Mytilus edulis: one gene and its partners. The protein of the gene in region 1 purifies or fractionates together with the protein of each later gene. This does not show direct contact. Links are inferred from orthologs where the notes say so. Each region holds a gene or a part of one and is shown on either strand. Other genes may lie near its edges.

The links.
Region 2: the proteins of protein LSM14 homolog A-like (region 1) and complement component 1 Q subcomponent-binding protein, mitochondrial-like purify together in Homo sapiens (affinity purification with mass spectrometry; 3 studies listed by BioGRID and IntAct, with this or other methods). This does not show direct contact. The link is inferred for Mytilus edulis from reciprocal best matches to the Homo sapiens genes LSM14A and C1QBP.
Region 3: the proteins of protein LSM14 homolog A-like (region 1) and eukaryotic translation initiation factor 4E transporter-like purify together in Homo sapiens (affinity purification with mass spectrometry; 3 studies listed by BioGRID and IntAct, with this or other methods). This does not show direct contact. The link is inferred for Mytilus edulis from reciprocal best matches to the Homo sapiens genes LSM14A and EIF4ENIF1.

What each region holds. Positions count from the first base shown.
Region 1 is NC_092348.1:83,812,235-83,819,679, forward strand, and holds the start of protein LSM14 homolog A-like, read right to left. Parts: upstream 3,094-7,445; 5' UTR 2,960-3,093; coding exon 2,839-2,959; intron 1-2,838. Other genes in the region: transcription initiation factor TFIID subunit 4-like, read left to right, coding at 3,160-4,257, 5,549-5,692, 6,108-6,267, 6,731-6,870, 7,427-7,445. UniProt on the Homo sapiens protein: Essential for formation of P-bodies, cytoplasmic structures that provide storage sites for translationally inactive mRNAs and protect them from degradation. Acts as a repressor of mRNA translation. May play a role in mitotic spindle assembly.
Region 2 is NC_092349.1:26,143,258-26,150,209, reverse strand, and holds the start of complement component 1 Q subcomponent-binding protein, mitochondrial-like, read left to right. Parts: upstream 1-3,854; 5' UTR 3,855-3,871; coding exon 3,872-4,160; intron 4,161-6,952.
Region 3 is NC_092349.1:11,805,667-11,813,717, forward strand, and holds the start of eukaryotic translation initiation factor 4E transporter-like, read left to right. Parts: upstream 1-4,973; 5' UTR 4,974-4,988; coding exon 4,989-5,071; exon of another isoform or gene 5,072-5,407; intron 5,408-8,051. Other genes in the region: GTP-binding protein 128up-like, read right to left, coding at 4,804-4,842. UniProt on the Homo sapiens protein: EIF4E-binding protein that regulates translation and stability of mRNAs in processing bodies (P-bodies). Plays a key role in P-bodies to coordinate the storage of translationally inactive mRNAs in the cytoplasm and prevent their degradation.

The DNA of each region.
Region 1 (7,445 bases):
AAAGTCTATAAATCAGGAGGACCCTTTGGATAATTATATAAAAAGCCTAAGGGTCATGAAAATGGCAGGGTTTTAAGGCATAAATTAGGCCTTTAGTTTTCTCATTTGATTTGTTTTAAATTTGTCATTACAGGGCTATTTATAGCCGACTAGTATGCAGTAAGGGCTTTGCTCATTGTTGAACGCAGTACAGTGAACATTAGTTGTTAATTTCTGTGTCATTTGGTCTCTTGTGGTGATGTTAGTTGTCTCATTGGCATTCATACCACATCTTCCTTTATATATTCATTTGAAGGTGCAGAAGATATTCAAAAGATATCTCTTCACCATCACAAAACAGGTCATGGAGATCCCTGAAAACGCACACATAATTATCATTATACTATAAATCATTTTATATATCTTGTTCCTAATTCATCTTTGTAACATTGCTAGTAAGACTATAAATATATAATAATGCAGACCTCTATGAGAACAACCTAAACAAAGCACATGCAAATACAAAAGTCCAATCAATCGATAGTCACTCAAGTCTTTCAGCAATGATTGCATTTTGTGGAACAATTGAAGTGGCTATTTCCTTAATTCGACTTGTTAGACTCTTAATGGTCTATGGGTATAAATCTTATTGTTTGTACACCCTGATACCTGTTCGCCCAGGGTCCATTCGCCCTGATTTTTATTTTTTTCAAAGTGTTGTCTAGTTGCATAATTCTAAATATTTGAACAAAATATGTTAAAATTTGACATTATTTATATTGCCACAACCAATTTATAATTTTCCCTTTGATTTGCAGAGTAGAATACTGGAAAACAATGTCATGAATGTATTTATCTTTATTGATATTTGTTAACAAAAAAATTGTAATTTGTATTCAGTCAATCATGAATCAATGTATGCAGTATAACTGAGACTAGTCTAAGAGTATAAGAATAAATGAACTTGTAAATCTGTCTCATGCAGTGATCGGGAAGGTCGTGCGCCTTGCGCCTATAGCGCATATTGACAAGCAATGGCGCATACATTGATAAATGTAAGCGCCCACGTGGCGCACGATAGTTTTCACTTCGTTTCGAAACGTTTAGATATCGTCAAATGAATTTCCGATAATGTTCCGTGCCGCCATGTGTGTGTACACAACTGTGTAAAGTTCCTCTAATAATAGGAGCACCTATATATTTTTGGGACGTCTCGGGTGTTTTCCTATCATAATAGAACCATGCAATTTAACGTCTCGGTGTTTTCCTATTGTAATAATAGAACCATGCGGTCTAACGGATAACCCGAAAAACGTAATTAACCATCATTCATGATATATTATTTTTATAAACAACTTTAAATTTGTGAAATTTGGCTAGTACAGACGAGTTTTAACTCTAATAATAATCTCATTTAGTTTAGCTTGCTATTATTTCGATTGAAGAACCCCAAAGACTTTTTAGGAATATAGTTTTTGATCTCCATAACAGACGCTTAGTGTCCTTGTCATTTTTTGGTCTTTGGCTCGTTTTGACATTTTGTAAACATGACTTCAGCGATTTGTTGTTTTGTTCTATGAATTAATGGTACTCTATACTGTTTGTTATTCTTGTCAATGTGATGAAGTTACAATAATACAAGAAGTGCAGAGGAAATGCCCGAAATGTCCTCTGATAGATACGGAACGTCTGAAAGAAGTATGGTATCGACGAAGACCCAAATTTAATGTACAAAAAACATGAATATGAACAAGGTAACCGTACCAGTTTAAACATTGTAAATAAAGGTCGACTTAAATATTATTGGGGTTGGAAGAAGTTATTGTATATTCATTGAAATTGAATTACCAAATCACAGGAACAATATCCATGATGGAGTATATTTTGGCAAAGAGATGTTGATACTTACATTCATGATTTTATTTAAGTATCAACATCTCTTTGCCAAAATATACTGATACTTTTTTTTTTACAGAAGTCAATTCAAATGGCCTACTCATTTGACAACATGGCCCATTATTTTTTAAAATGGCCCATTGAATTTATTTTTGAGGGGCCCTGGGCCCATAGAGAAAAAAAACTTCCAGATCACTGCTCATGATTTACAGTTCGTACATCATTGTTTCTATTAATTTGAAGCTGAATATTTTATCAAAACAAAACGTTTGTTTTTATTATTAATCCATCAAAAGACAAGTATCACAATCAGTGAGCATTATTTTGTGATTGAATAATTAATAATCCTAAACAAGCCATAAACTTTTAAATATTTCCATGTTTCGAATTCCATAAATTTCAAGAATTTATACCATAGAAATATCTGAATAAGTTTATTTAACTTCAATGCCAAGAATAATATTTTTTTTAGTAGGGCGAACAGACTCTATGGACGAAGGAACTCAAGGCTAACAGACCCAAGTTGAACATGTTATTAGGGCGAACGGACCTGATATCCATTCTAACCATAATGTATCAAGTGCCACTGATGCATCTTCTTAGTTTAAGACGAAACCAGTGTAGGGCATATTAAATCATGACACAAGGATAAGCCAGGTATCTTTCACAACATAAATTCGTTTTTTTTATGTCAGAGTCGAGTATGTTTACTTGCATGATAATGTCTAAAGCTCAAACGTTACCGTGTTTACTCCCAAAGTGGAAGTGCTGGGTTTACCCATTGTCGTTTGTGCAAAACCTATCGCTTTTGTCATAAACTTTCCGGTTATTTCATGGCACCAAACTTTTGAGTAGGTAAAGGAATGCTGTCGCTTTTAACGACAAACGCATTTATTTTTTTGTTGCAGATGTTAATTTCACAACATGCATATATTTCATTTTCTGGAATGCTATCTATATTACCTTTCGCTAATGCAACTGTCGATTCATTCGGATCAATGGTATATAAAATACCCTCATATCGAATTCCTGCTTTAGAAATAAGACTTATTTTGCTACCAAGATATGGAATCCCCCCACTCATGATGGCAAGGAATCTCTAAACTTTCAAACAAAGGAGGATGCCAACGGATTTATCTGCTTCATCCAAAATATTGTATCAGCAGAATATAAGATGGCGGATGTTTTGATTCTGTCACGAGAGGGCGTACTTTTGAAAAAAGTGTCCCACAAATCTGTGATTTGCGCCTGCGTACTTCAGTCTAAAAATTTACTGCTAGGGAAATGGCGGCTGTCAACCCTCTAGATGATATTCTTAATAGTTCTGTAGATGAACTGGCAATTAATGCCTTAGTTGGCAATTTAGAAGCACGTCTAGCTTCCCCATCCAATAAGGATGTGTCTAATTCTTTATCAGATGCCTCAGTCAATAACAATCACATTGGCACAACAAGGTCTTCAACACCACAAAATAGTGGTTCAGTGTTCAACACGGCTACTGGAGTAGGTGCCAATGGACAAGCTGTATCAGCTCACAAAAACTTCACAAATTCTCATAATTTAAATGTTCAGTCTCCCTCCTCAAAAACAGACTCACAGTTGATTGGAATCAATTCAATATTAAATCCTATGAACTCATCACAAACAAGCAATATTGTTAGTACACATGTGAACTCATTGACAGTGAATAGAAGTTCTCCAATACCAGAATCAAATCGTATTCAGTCCCCTCACATAATAAGAACAGTATCAAACTCTCCAGGTTTTCAGAATGCAAGGAATTCACCAGTTCCATCGCCAAATTCAAATCCAGCCATATCCGCTAGTTCGCAGCATGCAATCAAACCAGACAATAGTGCTATTATTCAAAATGTTGCAATATTAGGAGATCATAAACCTTTAATGTCACAAGGAAACTGTATTCAAGTATCATCTAGTCAACAAATTCCAGGTGGACAAAATGTGTGTGTTAAACAAGAACCAGCAATAAGCTCACAGTATATTGTCAAAACCGAAAATATGCCTGTATCAAGTGTGAAAAATGAACCAAGGACAGCAGCTATACAAGCAGTGACAGGACTTCAAAATAGTGTATATACATCAGGAAATCATATTACACATGCAACCAATGTTCATATTGTAAATGCTCCAATCAAAGGCCATTCGGGTGTTATTACAGTGAAAACAGGTCCGCAACATGTAGTAATGCGACCACAAATTGTACAAAATTCAGGACAAATGCAAGTTGTTAATGTTAGTGCTCATTCAAATAGACCACCTGGAATAGTACAGGTGCCTCATGGAAAACACCAACCAGTCCGTATAGCTACACCAGCTCGTCACTCTCAAATAAACATTGCTCCAAGACCTGGTGGTGCTCCTGTAAGTTATATACCACTTGCTACTTTGTTTATTTTTTCTAGACTAGCTCACTTTAATCTGACATGGGCATGTAGAAGAGTAACAAAATTTTGAAAGAAAATGTAAAGATTACATGCATGTACATTGTATCTTTCGGAGATGTACATGTATGTTAATGTATAAAACAGCTATGAAAGATATACAATAAGCTCTTGATTAATGTTTGGTGTAATGTTATATTGCCTTGATTTCATATATTCAAACATGTTTAGGGGCACAGCCACAAGCAATTTTTGCTCCAGTTACCCGTATATATGACTTGTTTTAAAGTAAGCAACTGTTATTTACCTTATATATATGTGTACAGTAATTAACATGCACATGAACCAATCTACACTGTATTAGCACAATTTCTATAGTTTGTCATCAAAAGGGGAATAACTCTTTTTAGACTTTAATTAATCTAAATTATCATGCTTCAATTTGTAATTTTTCTTTGGCAATGACATAATTATACACTGCAATTTTAAATACACATAAAATGATGTGGCCAGATAGTATAAGTACTATCATAGCTACATGTACATGTATCATATCATAATGATGATAACTACATGTATCATGTGTAAAAACTTGACAAATTTACAAAAAAAAGTTCAATTGTTTACTACCCACCTGTACAAATGAATATATATAAGATTGTAACATTATCACAGAAAATAAAAAAGTATGATAAAAAACTGTACAGCTATCCAGATCAAAGGGAGACAACACATGTACACCTTTCTAAGGCCATTCAAAAAATAATATAATTGCTTGCCCCTCAGTCAACCCTGCTCAGGAATGTCTGTTTTTGCATCCTAGTAATTTCGTTCGTTTTCTTTTAAGAAATATAAAGAAGCAAGTGTATGTTTTGATTTAATTATTAAAATTGGTTTATATTAATTGTCTGATAATTTTTCTTAAAAATGTGTAATTCATATAATTCTTAAAGTTTATAATACATACATGTAGCTTCTAAATATCACAATAAATATATTGCAAGATATGATTAATTTCAAATATTTAAACAAAAAAGTCAAACCTTTGTGAGTTTTTTAGATAAAGTTCTGTGTAGAGCAATGCTGTTTTAGTTCAAGAATATACATTTTTAGTGCATTCATAGAAACCCTGCCGACATTTGACAATTGCAATATTTATATGAATTATATCTGTTTTCCTTTTATTTGGATTTGTTGTTTAAATGTCGGATATCAATATACCTCATTCAACCTTATACTAATAGACTAACATTTCCTGTTTACTTTTTTAGAATACAATTACATTACCGCCTGGTGTGCAAATTCCTCCTGGGACAGTACTGATGAGAAATGAACAAGGTCAGCTGATGTTTGTCCCTGCTTTACATGCATCTCAGCAACCTACTACACAAGGCCAAAGAATACAGTATGTCAGGGTATGTATTGATTGTCTGCCCGACAGACTTTATAGTATTATCAAAAGTTATTGGAAATTAATAATTATACATTGAATGAACTTTAATTAGTTCAAGCAAGCAGGTAATTCAAGCTGATTACGTCAGATGGAGCTATGAATTAACAAGGAGTCAATTGCCTCATTCCCCCCAATATACTATCTTATTAAATCATTTCAATATCACATTCTCTTCCAGATTTTCTGCATGGTGTAGTTTATATCCTGCCGTGTTTTATGTAGTCCTTAATTTTATATGTTACATGTTGGTAACAATTTAATTTGACATATTTAGACAATAGGCATGATAGGCCAACATACAACATGTACATATATGCAACTTGATACCTTGAATTCTTATGTATTTCAATTTACATGTACATGCATTATCTTTGTAGCCACCTGTAAGTTCACATCAGCAGCGCCCTCCAAATTCACAGATTGTGACTATTCAACCACAACAAGCACAACCTCCGAGGGTAGTCAGACCAAATACTCAACCATCAGTGACATCATCAGTTCCTACAGTTGTATCTCAACCACCATCTGCAAGTCAAGGTAGATAACTCAAAATTGTCATGAAAATTTTATTTCAATACTTGTTAAAAAGAAAAGTTCAGATAAAACAAAAATATAATTTAAAACCAATTCTCTTCACAATGACTCAATGACAGTAATATGACAGACTTTGTTTCCAGGAACTATGATAAATAAAGCAGTCTCTTTTCCATGCATGATTTTCAGCAAAAATAAACCCTATTCCAAATTTCGAAGTTTTAACTTTTACAGTTTTATTTTCATACCAAATAAAGGGAAATGATATTATAGACATGATAAATAAAGCTGTCACACCTTTTTCAGTTCTGAACCAGATAGGTTAATATTCAGGGACAATAATGCACCAATATCGTGATAAACCAGGTAGATTTTGATATTCTTAAACTAAGCATTTTATTAGATGATGAATAGAAATAATTAATGTTTTGTTTTTCTATCATCATTTCTGAATTTATGTTTACAGGTTCATTACCAGGTCATCATCAACAACCATTAGATAATGTGAAAAAATGTAAAAATTTCTTGTCAACTTTGATCAAACTAGCAGCAAGTCAACCAGAACAAACTGTGAAGAATGTCAGAGAACTTATCCAAGGACTAATAGTAAGTATATTTGATACTGGTTTTTTTTTCTAAAAATTGATTCTGCAAGGATTGCATATTTATTGGAGAGGTTTTTACAGAGGATTACAAACTTTTTGACATTTTGTTAATGACATATATATGCATTTTATTGCTATTATTTATCTAAAATCTATATATATATCACTAGCCCATTTTACTAAACTTTGAGTAAAAGTTTGGGTTCTTAATCATATTAATGCTAGTCAACTTCATACTTTATTTGGCCTTTTTCACGTTTTTAATTCGAGCATCACTGAATGACTGATGAGTCTTTTCTAGGAAAAAAACACAAATCTGGGGTACAAAATTTAAAGCCTGGTATCCATGATGATTTTATTCACAGATTTTTTTTTTAAATAAACATCTTTTCCTACTTCGTAATATAATGAGATAAAATTGTGTGAAGAAACATGTTTACTACAGTTCATATAGTATGCTATGTTTTACCACAGTGCTCACACATTTATCAATGTTTTAGACCATGCATATTTTTGTAATTTCCGATATATACTCATATATTAAATATTTATTACAGGACAATAAAGTTGAACCAG
Region 2 (6,952 bases), on another chromosome or scaffold:
CTTGACGACACCAGTTTTATGAAATTTTCCTTTGCTGATTAACGAAAGAAGAACTGTACCATTATCATCATTATTCACATCCATACTCGTCATATGTTGAATCAATAAAATTGAGATAGGAAATGGGGAATGTGTCAAAGCGACAACAACCCGACCATAGAGCAGACAACATCGTCATAATTATGTTTAATCAAGACTCCAGTCTAGAAGAGAGAAAGCATCCAAAACCATGTAAAATCATATTTGTGGAGATACATATTAATTTTCAGTGGCGGATCCAGGGGGGGGGGGGTTCCGGGGGTGCGCACCCCCCTTTATTTTTGCCGATCAATGCATTTGTATCGGGACATATATTTTGCACCCCCCCCCCCCTTTGCCCTGGGTGCCCTGGGTTAGCACCCCCCTTTCGAAAATTCCTGCATCCGCCCCTGATTTTGTAATTGGAAATCTTACCTTACCTTACCTGTGTTTATTTAAAAATGCCGCAATCAAGTCAGGAATATGACAGTTGTCAGTTGCCAATTCGTTTCGTGATGCGTTTCATCATCATCATCATCATCATCATCTCATCATCATCTCATCATCATCATCATCATCATCATCATCATCATCATCATCATCATCATCATCATCATCATCATCATCATCATCATCATCATCATCATCATCATCATCATCATCATCATCATCATCATCATCATCATCATCATCATCATCATCATCATCATCATCATCATCATCATCAACATCATCATGTTATTATTATTATTATTATTATTATTATTATTATTATTATTATTATTACTATTATTATTATTATTATTATTATTATTATTATTATTATTATTAGTTGTATATTCCCCATGTATAGTTTCAAAAGGATTGAAAAGGTATTCTAACAGTTTATAATATATATGTTACAGTAAATAGGTGAAATTAGAAATTACACGTAATTACTAAACATTTCAGTAAATACCTGTAATTACTAGCCAATTTAGTAATTACATGTATTTACCAGTTGTTTTAGTGATAACTGGTATTCACTGATTTTTTTTTTGTAATTTTTACAGCTATTTACTAACTTGATATTTTTGTTTTTAAATTAAAGTTATAATTCAAGATACAAAATAAGAACGTAAAGGGTAGGTATTTTAGAGCTTATTTCATTAAGGATAACGGAATATAAGGCACATTAAAAGTGTATATTCTGTAGTGTTTGTGAATTAAAACTGGAAAATGGTTATTATTAAAGTTTTGAAACTCCCTAAAAATCAATTTCAGCATGCAAGACAAATGATATCATTCCAAAATTGAAAAAATATTTGAGAAGTTTACAGGCAACTTCGTCACCTCTTTTTGATGATAGACATTCGATAAAGTAAAATTTTGTGATTTTAAAGAGTAATAACCAACAAGTGTTTAAACATTTTTTTGCAGGAATTAAACGACAATTTTTTTTCTGTCTAAATTTGAAAAAAAAATTGTTATCTGAGCTGACCAGACTTTTTGCCGTATCAATTGTATTTTTTTAACATTCAGGCTATTTGTATTACCATTATGTCTCAGATTTACTTTAAAATATGTTTCTTCTATGCAATTTAACAGTCAGGGGTATTTCTTTTGACAACATTTGCAAAATCTCTCAATGATTTTTACCTACTAGTGCACATGTTTTCGACCGTTTTGTAGGGTACCCCAAAACTGGTCATATTCAATATACCCTAAACATAAAATGAAACGGTGAATTTCCGTAAGACTTTGGCAGATGATGCATGGACCCCTACCTTTTCAATGATGTAAAAATAAGAAAAATTAAACGAGAGGAAAAATTTTGTGTTACCCTTAAAGTTCTTGAAATTTTGATAACTTTCTTAAATTGTCCTAGATTTATCCCAAACTTGAACAGAAGCTTGCTTATGATAATAAGGTAATTTTTAAGAAGTAAATTTTGTAAAAATAAATCGAGTTTTTCCGTATTTTACTTATAAATCTAGTTTTATGCCAGTTAACATTACATTCACACTGTGGTTAAAGTTTTTGAAATTTTAATAACTTTCTCAAAATATCCTGGATTTCTACCAAACTTGATCATGAGATAATATCCAGAAGTAACGATGGAAAAAAATCCTTTTTAGTATATTCCTTATAAATGGACTTCGTTTTTTTCTCCAGTTAACATACCGTACACTCTCCGGTAAAAGTTTTTCTTAAACATTTATTAGATTTCATAAACCATCCTGGATTTTAACCAAATTTGGACAAAAGCTTCTTACAGTCCTAGACAAAAGATAGTATATGGAGGAAAATTTTAATTTTTTTTCCCATTTTTGTTGAGCCTGCGACTAATAGTAGGCAATATACTGGGTTCCATGAAACCCTTACAATTTTAAATCTGAATCCATCGGTAACCTATCTATAGCTAGGGGTTGAATTGAAGGTCACATGAATAAGTATTCAATGAGGTCCATTTATTCACTTGCAAGTGCACAACTCATCAAGCAGGTTTCTGAGCTTATTTTTAGTAAAATAGATCCAGATTGACTGCTTAAAGTGAATTATAATTTCACTATATCATTTTCATTAATGATTTAACAAAAAAATGCTCCTATAAAAAAAGATGCATTTTAGGCTAATCACTTTTTAAGACTGCTCACTGATCAGAGGCGGATTTAGAGGGGGCCCAGGGGGCCCGGCCCCCCCCCCCCTTTTTGGGGAAAAAATTTGGTTGCTTATATAGGGAATCACTGAAGTGTGACTGGAGCGGGCCCCCTCTTAGGTCAGTCAGTGGGCTCTCACTTATGAAAATTTCTGGATCCGCCACTGCTGATCTTCTATAGTTAGTATTACCCTAACTTTTGATCAGCTGACCATATTACAACTTTGTTTTAACAGTTAGTAAATAGGTGTAAAAATTCATTTTAAAATTAGTAATTACTGGTAATAACTAGGCCATTTCAGGAATTACTAGTATTTACTGGGTGCATCGGGTATTACATGTAATTCCTAAAGGAGTAGGTCCAGTAAGACCCCTTTTTGGCCCCAAAATATAGCAGTTTTACAAAATTGTTAAAATGTAAACGTTTAATTATTCATTGGACAGTAGAATGCTTCTGCTACATAAATTTGGGCTGATTTTGACAATACAATGCACATATATCGGGTACTAGCACCATTAAGTCATGCTATTTTACTGAAATCTTCACAATTCTAGCATTTTAGTTAAATTTTAGACGGTTTTCGTGTAAAACGAAAGTGGCCGCATTCGTGTTCATCCTTAATATTGAAATGTAAGTTGTACTTTATGATAAAATATAACATATATAAAGGTTGAGGATGAACACGGATGCGGCCACTTTCATTTTTGACAAAAACTATCTGAAAAATTATATATTTCGGCATATTTGGTAGATTTTTCATATTTGAGCTTAAATCGGTGAGTTTTTTATGACTAAATCAGTTCAAATCTTTCACATACACTAATTGATTTAAATAAAATAGACACTTAAGTGTTTAAAAAGTTGTCAAAATCTTTCGTCAGATGAACGTGAAATTTGAGGCCAAAATCGGTCCTTACCGGACCTACTCCTTTTAGTAATTACATGTAATTCCTAATTTCACCTATTTACTGTAACATATACATTAACACGGTTTGTTTTTTTTAAATGCAAAGATATATTTTTATCGTCTATAGTTCGGTGAAGAATATTGGGTAGTCAACTGTTCGCAGTATTAAAGAAGAAATTCAAAAGTAAAATGTACGAGTTGGTTAAGTACTATTTGTCAGAGTACGAGATGGTGAAGGGACGACATGTCTCGTGGTTGATAAGTCTCGCACCCGTTTCAAGGTCATGCGCATTGACCACAAGTATTCATGCTTTCCGGTACAAATTCACAGAAAAAAGCAATGGCATCTTTAATTTTCAGAAGGTCATCTTTGATTTCCTGTCAGGTTGTGAAAAATTGCAAATCACGTCAAATATTAGGCGTTGCACAAACAGATGCCAATACAAGATCAATCAGTTCATTAGTTGCGAAGACGAGAGAACTTTGTCATCATAGACAACGTGTTCAGATTTCATCACATTTATTGCAGAGAAAACCTACAAAACATTGTTCCAACTGTTCCTGTGGAGTTCATAGTAAAGCAGAAGTTGAACAAGGTTGATGATTTATTTAATTGGTGTATTTTGTCTCTATAAGCAACCCTCAACGCAGGGCTTTCCATTGAAGCCGTTAGCCGGCGGAAATCCACCGTTTACGGTGCCTTCAAGTGCAGGCTTCTTCACTGACAAAAATATAAATTCAAAAAGAAAAAAAAATATTTTTACAAATGTTTACAGGCAGCCGAGAGACGTATTGTCGCAAAGTCGCGGTCACAATAAACAAGGGATGAAAAGTCAGTGTTTACCTTGGGCTAAAATTATATAGTTCACATGAATTCAGGTCACTGATTGGTTGTGTATTTAAAGTTAGAATGCATCGTTTCTTTTCAAAGATGACAAGAGAGACGTTCCGGTGGTCATTGAATGATAACAATAGAGACGTTCCGATGGTCATTAACTCGTGGGCTTTTTTTTTGCTTTTATAAAACGTGATGACAATCATATAGGATGACAATCTTATGTTATGGAATAATATCAGTCAAATTAATGAAAGTGTAGTAGATCATATTGTTCAGAATCTGGAAAACAGTATCTTTTGAAGTTCATTTTTCAAAGCCCATGTGGTGTTCAGAGAATCAAGGTCAAAAACTAAAGTAGAATATTGTCGACTCGCCTCAAATAAATAGCATTTCCAAATGATTTATGTATCCAACTTATTGAACAGTTTACAAAAAAAAAAGAGAAAATCAGAGGATATATCAATTTTCTGTCAATACTTGAGAAATAATTGTATGATTTAAATACGCATAACAGTATTTAGAGAGAAATGGGGGGTCATTTGTTTACAAATGCACGTAGTTATGCAAAATAAATCGATCAAGATTTCTAACAAACTGGATTATTATATAAATAAAACTCCTTTAAAAGTAAATGAATTTTAAGCATTAGGTAATAAAAATGAAAAAAACTATAACATAGAAAAAAATTAAATGTCTTTCCCGAGATTTTTTTTTCTTTCTTGAATTTAATTTTTTTTTTTTATCTTTTATTTGTTTTTCAATAGTCAGGATTTTTCACACCCCATTACACTACCACCTGACAATGGTATCAAGGGGTAAATACAGAAGAAAAAAATAGCAATATATACAAAATGAATCTCTTGACTAATTAATTTTTCTTTGTTTTCAAAATTCCAATAGGGAACATACTTTTTATAATTGTATAAATAAACCAATTTATCAAGATGTTTCGGCCATTGGCCTTCTTCAGTTCTTTATTTTTCCTCTCAACTACATGGCTGACATTATATATATGTCAGCCATGTAGTTGAGAGGGAAAATAAAGAACTGAAGAAGGCCAATGGCCGAGACGTCTTGATAAATTGGTTTATTTATACAAAAAATATATAATTAATTTTTAACAATAAGAATATTTTAGGTTACATATAAATTGTATTTGATTTATCTCTCTTCTCTCTCTCTCTCTCTCTGACTTACTCACATACAACACTAATACTTTCACTCATCTGTTTTGCTACAATATGTGTCATGACTTACTTTTTAATACAATTTTTTTTAAAGAAATAAATTTGTTCATAATTTATAAATTATTTCTTTTCTCTGAACTAAACATAGATAATATGAAAACAACACTTAGTTACATGTAAAGGAGACCAAAATTTTTCACAAACTTGGACTTTATCATTTTTCTTTGCAATATATGATTTTCAAGAAATTGGTATTTCTTTATTTTATTCTTTAACTCAATCATATTTTGTTTTGTTTCATTTAATTTAGGCCAACCTTAAAAATATGTTTGTTTGCAGTTTTCCGACTGTACCTTCAGACTGAAGGGTCGGTAGGTAGGAAAAATATTTTATTTTATCAGCCAAAATACAGTTTAAACAAGCAGTTACACTAAACCAAGTTTCTTGTGAAGAAAAAAAAACATTTTAAAACAACAAACACTGGACATGTTGAAAACCAACATCAAATGAACAGGCATTTTCAGATAAAAAAAATTTTAACCAAAACTGAAACTTTAACATAGCGTCATTATCCAATTTATGACATAAAATATGGTATAATTATTAAATACTGGAACACTTATAAACAAGGAATGTCATTATGACTAGAACTGTTTTAAAGAAATATATTCAGACATGTATGCTTCTTGACTAGAATGTTTTCATGAGTAAAGTATTTTCATCAGAAAAATGTAGATATTAAAGATTTATAAGACAATGTATTAAAGAGTGTATTTTTAACAAGGTTGGTTGGGCGGTAAATACCGCCCCCGGTATTTACCAGTGGTATTTACCGGTATTTACCGCCCCGGACAATACTCCCCAAGTGTTCAATACTGGCAAATACTGGTCGATTGAAATTTTCATGGTTGTTTTTACTATTAATTGAAGTAAAAACATAATAAAAAGTCAAATAAATTTAAACTTTAATCTTTATGCAAATGTCAGCTTATATAAATTAATGAATTTGATATGTTTTATTCATTTATAACACTAATTCCGACTAATTTAAAATTTAGTTATTATGAATTATGATATAACATACTTTAGATATATAAAAATTTACATATTATTTCAACATTTATAAATCAATATATAATTTTTAATTCAAAAAGTATGATTTTACAGGTAATTAAAAGTAAAGGTAAATTAAAGTACAGGTAAATGTAGTTACTTAATATTGTAAGAAAGAGAATAATTGCAATGAGTGGGGCAGCCCCCCTTATCCTAAAGGAGCATACTCATTGCAATCGAAGATAGATTTAATATAGAGAGAATATATTTATTTTTCAAGCTAACCATTCATTTTCTCTACATCTTTGTG
Region 3 (8,051 bases), on another chromosome or scaffold:
ACCATGGACCTTGAATCAAAATATCCTAGGTCTTTAATATGTTTGGTTAATGAGTACTACCACTTGACGCGTAATTTTAAATGTAAGATGGACAAAAACTCCCTTTTATTGTATGCGCAGCCTTTCAACCAAAATATACAAGTAAGGACATGTCGCAACTAATAATTTATGAAAAATTATTTGTCAAAATGTCATACAGTATTTGAAAAGAAGTGAAAATAAGCCAAAATCAAAATTTATAATATGACCTTGACCTTTGACATTGACCTCATTTTCATTTTTAGTACCAATGACCTCATGAAGACCCTAGGTCTCTATCAGTTATGGTTTACCAGTTGAAAATGCATATCGCTTGAATCAAATGAAAAAGGGGGAATAACTCTCATATGGAGTCCCCATAGAGCTATGGTTCAAACGAATATTCTTATCCTAAATATGTAACGAGCAATTTGGTAAAATAAAATCTTTTACGGTTACGAAGGAGAGGTGGCCACAAGAAAAACAGTGTTTGGGGAGATAACTCTTACAACGTAATGTATTTTGTTATAATTACATTTGATATATGTTTCATTATAATACTTTATTCTGATTGGCTAACTGCACATCACATGTTATTCCTCAAGCAATTGCATCACTAAATAAAACTTTTCATTCATGATAACACGTGGTCCCACAATAAAGTGCACAGATGAATTGAATAAAAAAGTTATAAAATTCGTGTTTTCATGATCCTAGCTAAAAAAAGTAATTATAAGTATTGAATGTTTCTTTTTGTAACCTCATAGGGTTGCAAAAGCGTTGACCGTGTGCACATTTTTAGAATGAAGCGCTTACGCTTACGCGCTTCATACAAAAAGTACTTCGGTCAACGCTTTTACACCTCAATGAATTTACAAAAAAAAAGCATTCAATACTTAAATGCAGTTGTAAATTTTTAAAGCAAAAAGAGTTAATACTAACATTCACTTTTTTGGATGTTCATGTACATTTTGTATGTATTTATTTTTCTCAACTACATGAATTTTTTGGTGTATTTTTAATGATATATATGAGTAGTCCAAATAATTATTACGTCTGGCAAGGCTTTTTAAATTTTATTCTGGGACACCTTCCTATGACCACAAGGCTATGTTAATTTTTTTCTGGGACGCCTTCTTAGGAAGCCTTCCTACGAGCGTCTTAGGAAGGCGTCCCAGAAAAAAATAAAATAGCCTTGTCAGACGTCATTATTATTTGGACTAATACATGAGATATTGGATATTTTTATGCATTATTTAACCAGTTGAGTCTTTTACAGGATTGTTTGTTTAATGCTGTTTAAACATTACTGAAAAAAAACCCACCTTAAATTTGCTAATTATTTGGCATGAAAGTTTGATTTATTGAAAGGGACTCATAGTTTTCCATTTAATTTTAATAATTGTCTAATGGTTAAAACAATAGCTTCGTTGTTTACTTTTATACACAACAACATATTCACTTTGGTTTCGTTGTTTACCTAATATTCACTATGTACTTGGTAACAGTTATTAATTAATTGAATAGAAAATATTATAATAAATATTATTGGAAGCCGAATTGACGTCAAATAGGTGCCGATTTGACTAGATGCCAATTTAACCAGGTGCCGACTTGACTTGTACGTTTCAATTCCTCTGCGATCGTTTGCGGTATTTTCTTGAGAAAACCTATTTTCCATCATCAAACAGAAGAAGAAACTGCTTGAAATGATTCCCGAACGCTTCGTGATTGTTAAAATAAGTTTAATTCACTCAAAAAACAATTTTAAAACTTGCGATGTTTAAACAGGAAGTTTCAAAAGCACGTGTAAAAGAAGAAATTAACCGGTGAGAGTGGAAATCCGTACATAACATATATCACTATAGTACGACTTTTAAAGCAAAACAGTTTCATCCTTTTGTAAAACAGTCTTTAATATGCCTATTACATTAATGTTTGAAGGGTCTTAAGCTTATTCAAACCATATAAGTCGGTATGAAACACCAAAACGGAATGATAATATACCGATTACGTTTTGTAGTTTACAAAATTCTGGACTGGTTCCTGTCAAACTACAACACTTTGGTTCGAATGTAGTGGAATACAAACAGAAACCAGTTAGTTTGTAAACTGGTTCCTGGCTGATTACTACACAATGCTCATGCATAATGATAACACAAGCACATTCCAGTTTGTATTGAAATTAGTAAATACGAAACCAAGCGCGGTAGGCAGAGAAATCAGGTCGGCAGTTATGGAACAATGACTGCGTCATTTTCCAAAAAATGAGGTTATGAAATTTTTGGGAAATGTTATGAAATGTTATCATAGATATAGGAAGATGTGGTGTGAGTGCCAATGAGACAACTCTCCATACAAATAACAATTTAAAAAGTAAACCATTATAGGTTAAAGTACGGCCTTCAACACGGAGCCTTAGCTCACACCGAACAACAAGCTATAAAGGGCCCCAAAATTACTAGTGTAAAACCATTCAAACGGGAAAACCAACGGTCTAATCTATATAAACAAAATGTCTGTTCTGTTTCTCAAGTTTCAAAACAGCTACAAAGAAAATACCTGCTACAGGACGACACCATTATTATCGACATAACTGACACAATACAATCAAATAATAACTGAATGTCACCAACATGTACTAGTTTTATTTTAAATTGCAATTATATTTTTACAGATATAAATGTTTAAAAATATGTTTGAACATGTTGAATATAATCATATATTTTTTTTAAATTATTTCCATTAATCATTATAAAATTAGATGTTTAAATATTAATTTTATTTAGAAAACAATTTCTTTTAGTCAGTGCTTGTGTTAAGAATAGCTGATTTCTTTATTCTGTTGTTATTCTTAATGAAATAAAAATGTTCGGAATAAAATAAGAGTTTTTTCCTATACACACTTAAACTTTTTTAGTCTTTGATAGTTTTAGTTTGATTTCAATTTCAATTTTTATTTTAAAATACACGAATTAAGCCATTTTAATTAAATAAATGATTTGCTCAAGATGACTTAGGGCTATTCCAGAAAAAAATGTAGGGGGTGGGGGGGGGGGGGGGTTGTTGGAAGGCAGTTTTTGTCAGCACACGCCACCCAGACAATTGTAACTGAGAATTATAGTGCATTATAGTGTGAAAAGTTGCTCTGATACCCATCACCCATGTATTATTAATACAATGTGCCTTCCAACCCCCACCCCCATACATTTTTTTCTGGAATAGCCCTTAATATTTTCCTTCTGTTATTTGTAATTTTATAAATAATATTTTTTTAGTCTAATCTTATTTCACAATCAAATTGTGTATACTCTGCTAAGTGCTAAAATAAATTAGCTAGGACTACCTTGAGAATATTAAATATGAATACCAGTTAAATAAAATATTTCAGAAGATTTTTTAGGTATTTCTAACAAATTCAAGCAAAATGTACAAGAGTCAAGACTTTCTTATAAGTTGCTATTAATTGATTAATAAGAAATTTAGTATAATTTGATGGGATCCTAATTAAACTAGAAAAGGAACGAGATGTTGCCCATGTGATATTGGGCACACTAGGGCTGCAGGTCATCAGAATAAAGTAAACTGACCATAGTTCATAAACTAGAACAAAACCATGATAACATAAAATTGATTTCAGGACACTTTACCAAAAAATAAGACTATTTGCAATCATTCCCAATGACATGAATTAGACAACTTTAAAGAGATAAAATTCATAGAAGTTATTGGTCACCATATTTAATAATACTAAAATTTAAAGGAACCTATGTGATATCCAGTTATGGCAGACAAAGATATATATGGTGTATTAATTAAAGCTGGGAACAGAATATATATATCTAAAAGGAAATAAATCTGATAGGATTTTCAGTGTAAAGTTGATCAAATCCCAAACTTCCTGCGACCTTGAGTATGTCGAGAGATTGATGGATTTTGAAAGCGTCTGACTGCAAAACCATTGAGAATGTTCAATAAATTAACCACATTATTACAAATATACAACAAATTAAAGTTTTATTTTCAAGTAGATATACAATGTATTTTGTCATATAAAATAAGCAGTATACATTTAAGTGTGATTTATCTGATGCAAAGATCTTTATATTGGTTTGTGAATTTCACAGTTACTGTGAAGCCATTGCACCATTTTTTATTACTCTGTTTGCATTCAGTTCCGTGATGAAATGAATTCGATTATATAAATGACAAATTTGAAGTGACAGAAATCAAGTTCAATACACTGGCCTCACTCATTACCTAGTTTGAATGGCATGTCTTGATATTACTAGATATTATTAAGATAATAGCCATTTCATATTTTACACATTTTCATTTACATATCGTGTTATTTTTTTACCCAAAAAAAATGACGCGACAATGAAATCCTCTATTATTAGATAGAGTCAAGTCCCATCAATATATATGTTCTTGATCTAAGGCACTAAATCATCAGATCATATATTTTCTGTTCATCATATCCTTAATGGAGATGTGACAATACATTTTAAATAGCGCAAAACCCCATGCATAATATGGTATAATTATTTATCTGACATTCCTAGCAAACGTAGTCTATCAACACAGCCACAGGACATATATGTCACTAGCGTATTCAACATGTTCAAAGGCTTATCCCACATATTGGTAGTAGAAAGTTTTGAGAAACATAGGACTTTTCATTCCATGGGTGGGTAATATTTCACCATGCCCATGGCCATGGTATCAAATGAATGAAAAAAGGGGTACTCCAGAAGTTTTACAAAGCCCAAAAACTCATATTACCTCAGCCTCAATTTCTGATATTCTTTCCAATATACCCATTTTGAAGTTTACTGTAAAGTCTCAATTAATAAAAGTGTTAAAAATGAGAAAATGTGTTGAACAAAACTGAGGGAAATGTGTTGTAATTTTTGGTTCGTTCGGAATGGTTGTCGATGGAAAAATCTAAAGATTTCCAAATGAAGTAAATGACCCGGAAGCAGTCTGTGAGACGACTTTTATCGAGAAAAAAATCTGGGAGACAGATTAGCGTGTGCATTTCAAATCAGAGGTGCTTTTGCAAGAAGGCATATTATTTATTCTCTCTTTTTATTCAATCAATAATTGCATTTACTGGTGAAATTTTGCAAAATTTGACCTTAGAAATGAAAATTAGGTCAATCTTGCTCTGCGCATGCAAGTATCCGGGCGATTTCCAACATTTTCCGATGTTGTACTGCAACCGTTCAAAAGTGGACTATGTATCATCTGTTTCAGCGTGTATTAGGGCGACATTATAGTTAACCAGACCATATTTAGATATACTTTAGTTTCCTATTATATAACATTTTCGTTGTGTATTGTCTTTCGTGTAAAACTTCACAAACGGGGCTCTGCCCTGCTGAAGGTAAGCCATCAATCAAAAATCGACAGAGATGAAAACAATGCACTTATACTCTTGTTCTCCCTCTTTGTGTAAAGTCAATCTTTTTGGAAATCTTGATTTGTTGTAATGACATGACTCTTACATCATTTTAATTGTTCCGTTTCGATTTATTTCAGATACTAAGAAATGTCTAAAATTGTTTACAAATTTAATTACTAAATTAGTATAAAATTGTGTTAGCATGGTAAGTGAAATATAATATTGGGTTACAGAAAACCTTTCGACTGTTTTCAAATGATGTCTTTCCAAGAAAGACCCAAGTATAGTTTTATCAGTAGTAAGTAACAATTTACCTTGCCAATCTGTCATGTCTGTTAAAGGCTATTTAACTTTTAGCTATTTATCCTCTGTAACGGAGTAAACAGCTTGGTGGTGTCATAGTAGAGTGTTAGCCTCGAGTGAGGGATGTTGTGAGTTGGAACCTCTGCCGGGTCAAACCAAACACTTTAAAATTGGTATTTGCTTCTTCTCCGCTAAGGACGCTGCATTTAAGAATAAGAGCAGAGACTGGTGGAAATAATGTGTCCTGGTTAAGTGACATTCCTTCAGAGCTAGCACGTTAAAAATCTGGCTCAATGTGTCGGTCTACATACAAAGCAGGGTAAATCTTAATATTACATTAACATGTTCTCTTATTAACATGTTCCCTTCCTAAATATGCTTATTATCATGCCGCTGGACGTTAAGCAGCAATCGATCGATCATCCTCATCATCATCAAGGAAATAATCTGATTACACTTTTAATAATCCCTTTGGAGTTCTGTGTAGTAAACAATTTTCTAATATGGCAAAAGCGAAATGTGTTGATGTAACAGGATATTTGGCAAGTCTGCCTGCCCTTATAAACCTTAATCCTTATTACATAAATGTAATACATTTGATAATGGAAACGTAATGTGTCAGAGACAACAACTCATCGAAAGAACAAAAAAACATCCCATGGCCACATTTGGTCTTCAACACAGACAAATGACAGATTAAAAATCCCAAACCTGGTTGGGGGCTTCAGTTATTTTTTTTCGCTTTTTACGTATGTACCTCAGCACAAACCTGTGTCACTTACGTTAGTATCAGCATTATATACAAGTCTTTTAAAACTTAAAACAGACCTGTACAAATTGAAGAATTTCATAGTTTACTGGTCTGTAGTTTATCACGATTATTTCCCATTGTATTTTGATGAATTTAGTTATAATGAAACAGGGATCTCCATGGATGAAAATTGAACGATGGAGGAACTTTCATATCACAAACCGTGTCTACGCTGTATAGTGTAGCGCGATCTGAAGTATTTTATCCCTCTATACAAGGAATGGTGAACATGCTAAATCATTGCTTATTTAAATTATATTTATTTGAATTTTCATTATAGAATTTGAAGTATCAATATTTTCATTTATTGCCGTTTTTAACCATTCAAATGCCAAGTCTTCGTGGTCCCCCTTTAGTCGAGAATGACCAAAAGCTGTCATGAAGGTCCCCATGTAGATTTCTTGTATTTTTGGTAATTGTTATGGGGGTTAAAAATCAAATGATGTGGAGCTTATTTTTCATGGACAGTTGTCATATTCAGAAATTCAGAACCCATTACCGGTATGGCTGATTTGCAGCAACAACAAAACGATTCGTACGGGTTATGTAAAAGGTTAAAGAGATTTGTAAAGCAAACATTGACAAATGAAAACGTTTTTAATGACTTTATCTGTCAAATTGATGCTGTGCAACATGCATCTTTCGAGTCTGAATAGAAACCGGAAATGCGGATGTATCAATTTGATTGTAATATACGAAATGAATTCGGAATTACGATACGATATTTCTTTACAGGAAATATTTAAGTTTTTACTTTTAAACTTTTAAAGTAATTCTAAATTATCGTTACAGCAGTACTAGTATTCAAGTTATTTGCAATGAAATAATATTTACTGTTTTGCGTCTTATTTTGTACTTCTAATTAAAAAAAGGGGGATGCTGATTACGTAAGTCAAAATAAAGCACGTGTTCGACTTGTTAAACTGTTTTCTTTGTAACTGGATTATTAATTTTTTTATTTAATCTAAATTATCATAATCATTTGCTAAAACTTAGTTGATTAATTCGACAAATGGATCGTCTTTCCTCAGATAGTATTCTCCTGTGTGGTTTGTTGATCTACCTGTACAAGCTCAGGTACAAGTGATTAGCGATCTTAATCCGGATATCCCTCAGGCGTTAGAACTGTATTGGATTATAACATAAAAAGCCTAAGGGTTATGCAATTACATGCATTTGATTATAATTGAAAAAAAAATGGCGTCGGGCTGCAAAAAACGATGAAGTTTTTAACGATGGCGGAAGACAATGTAACGATGGCGCAAGACAATTTAACGATGGCGCAAGTCATTTGACGATGGCGCAAGACATTTGAACGATGGCGGGGTGCCATCGTTAAACAGGCCATGGAGATCCCTGATGAAACCAGTATCAGTTATTCATGTGCTTATTCTTTGGTTGTCTATGTTGTGTTTTTTCATGTTTTGCCATGGATTCATCAATTTAAAGATTAAAGGTGGTATTGTGGCCAAGAAAATGGCTATCCACAAGAGTTTTAAATAATGTGGATGT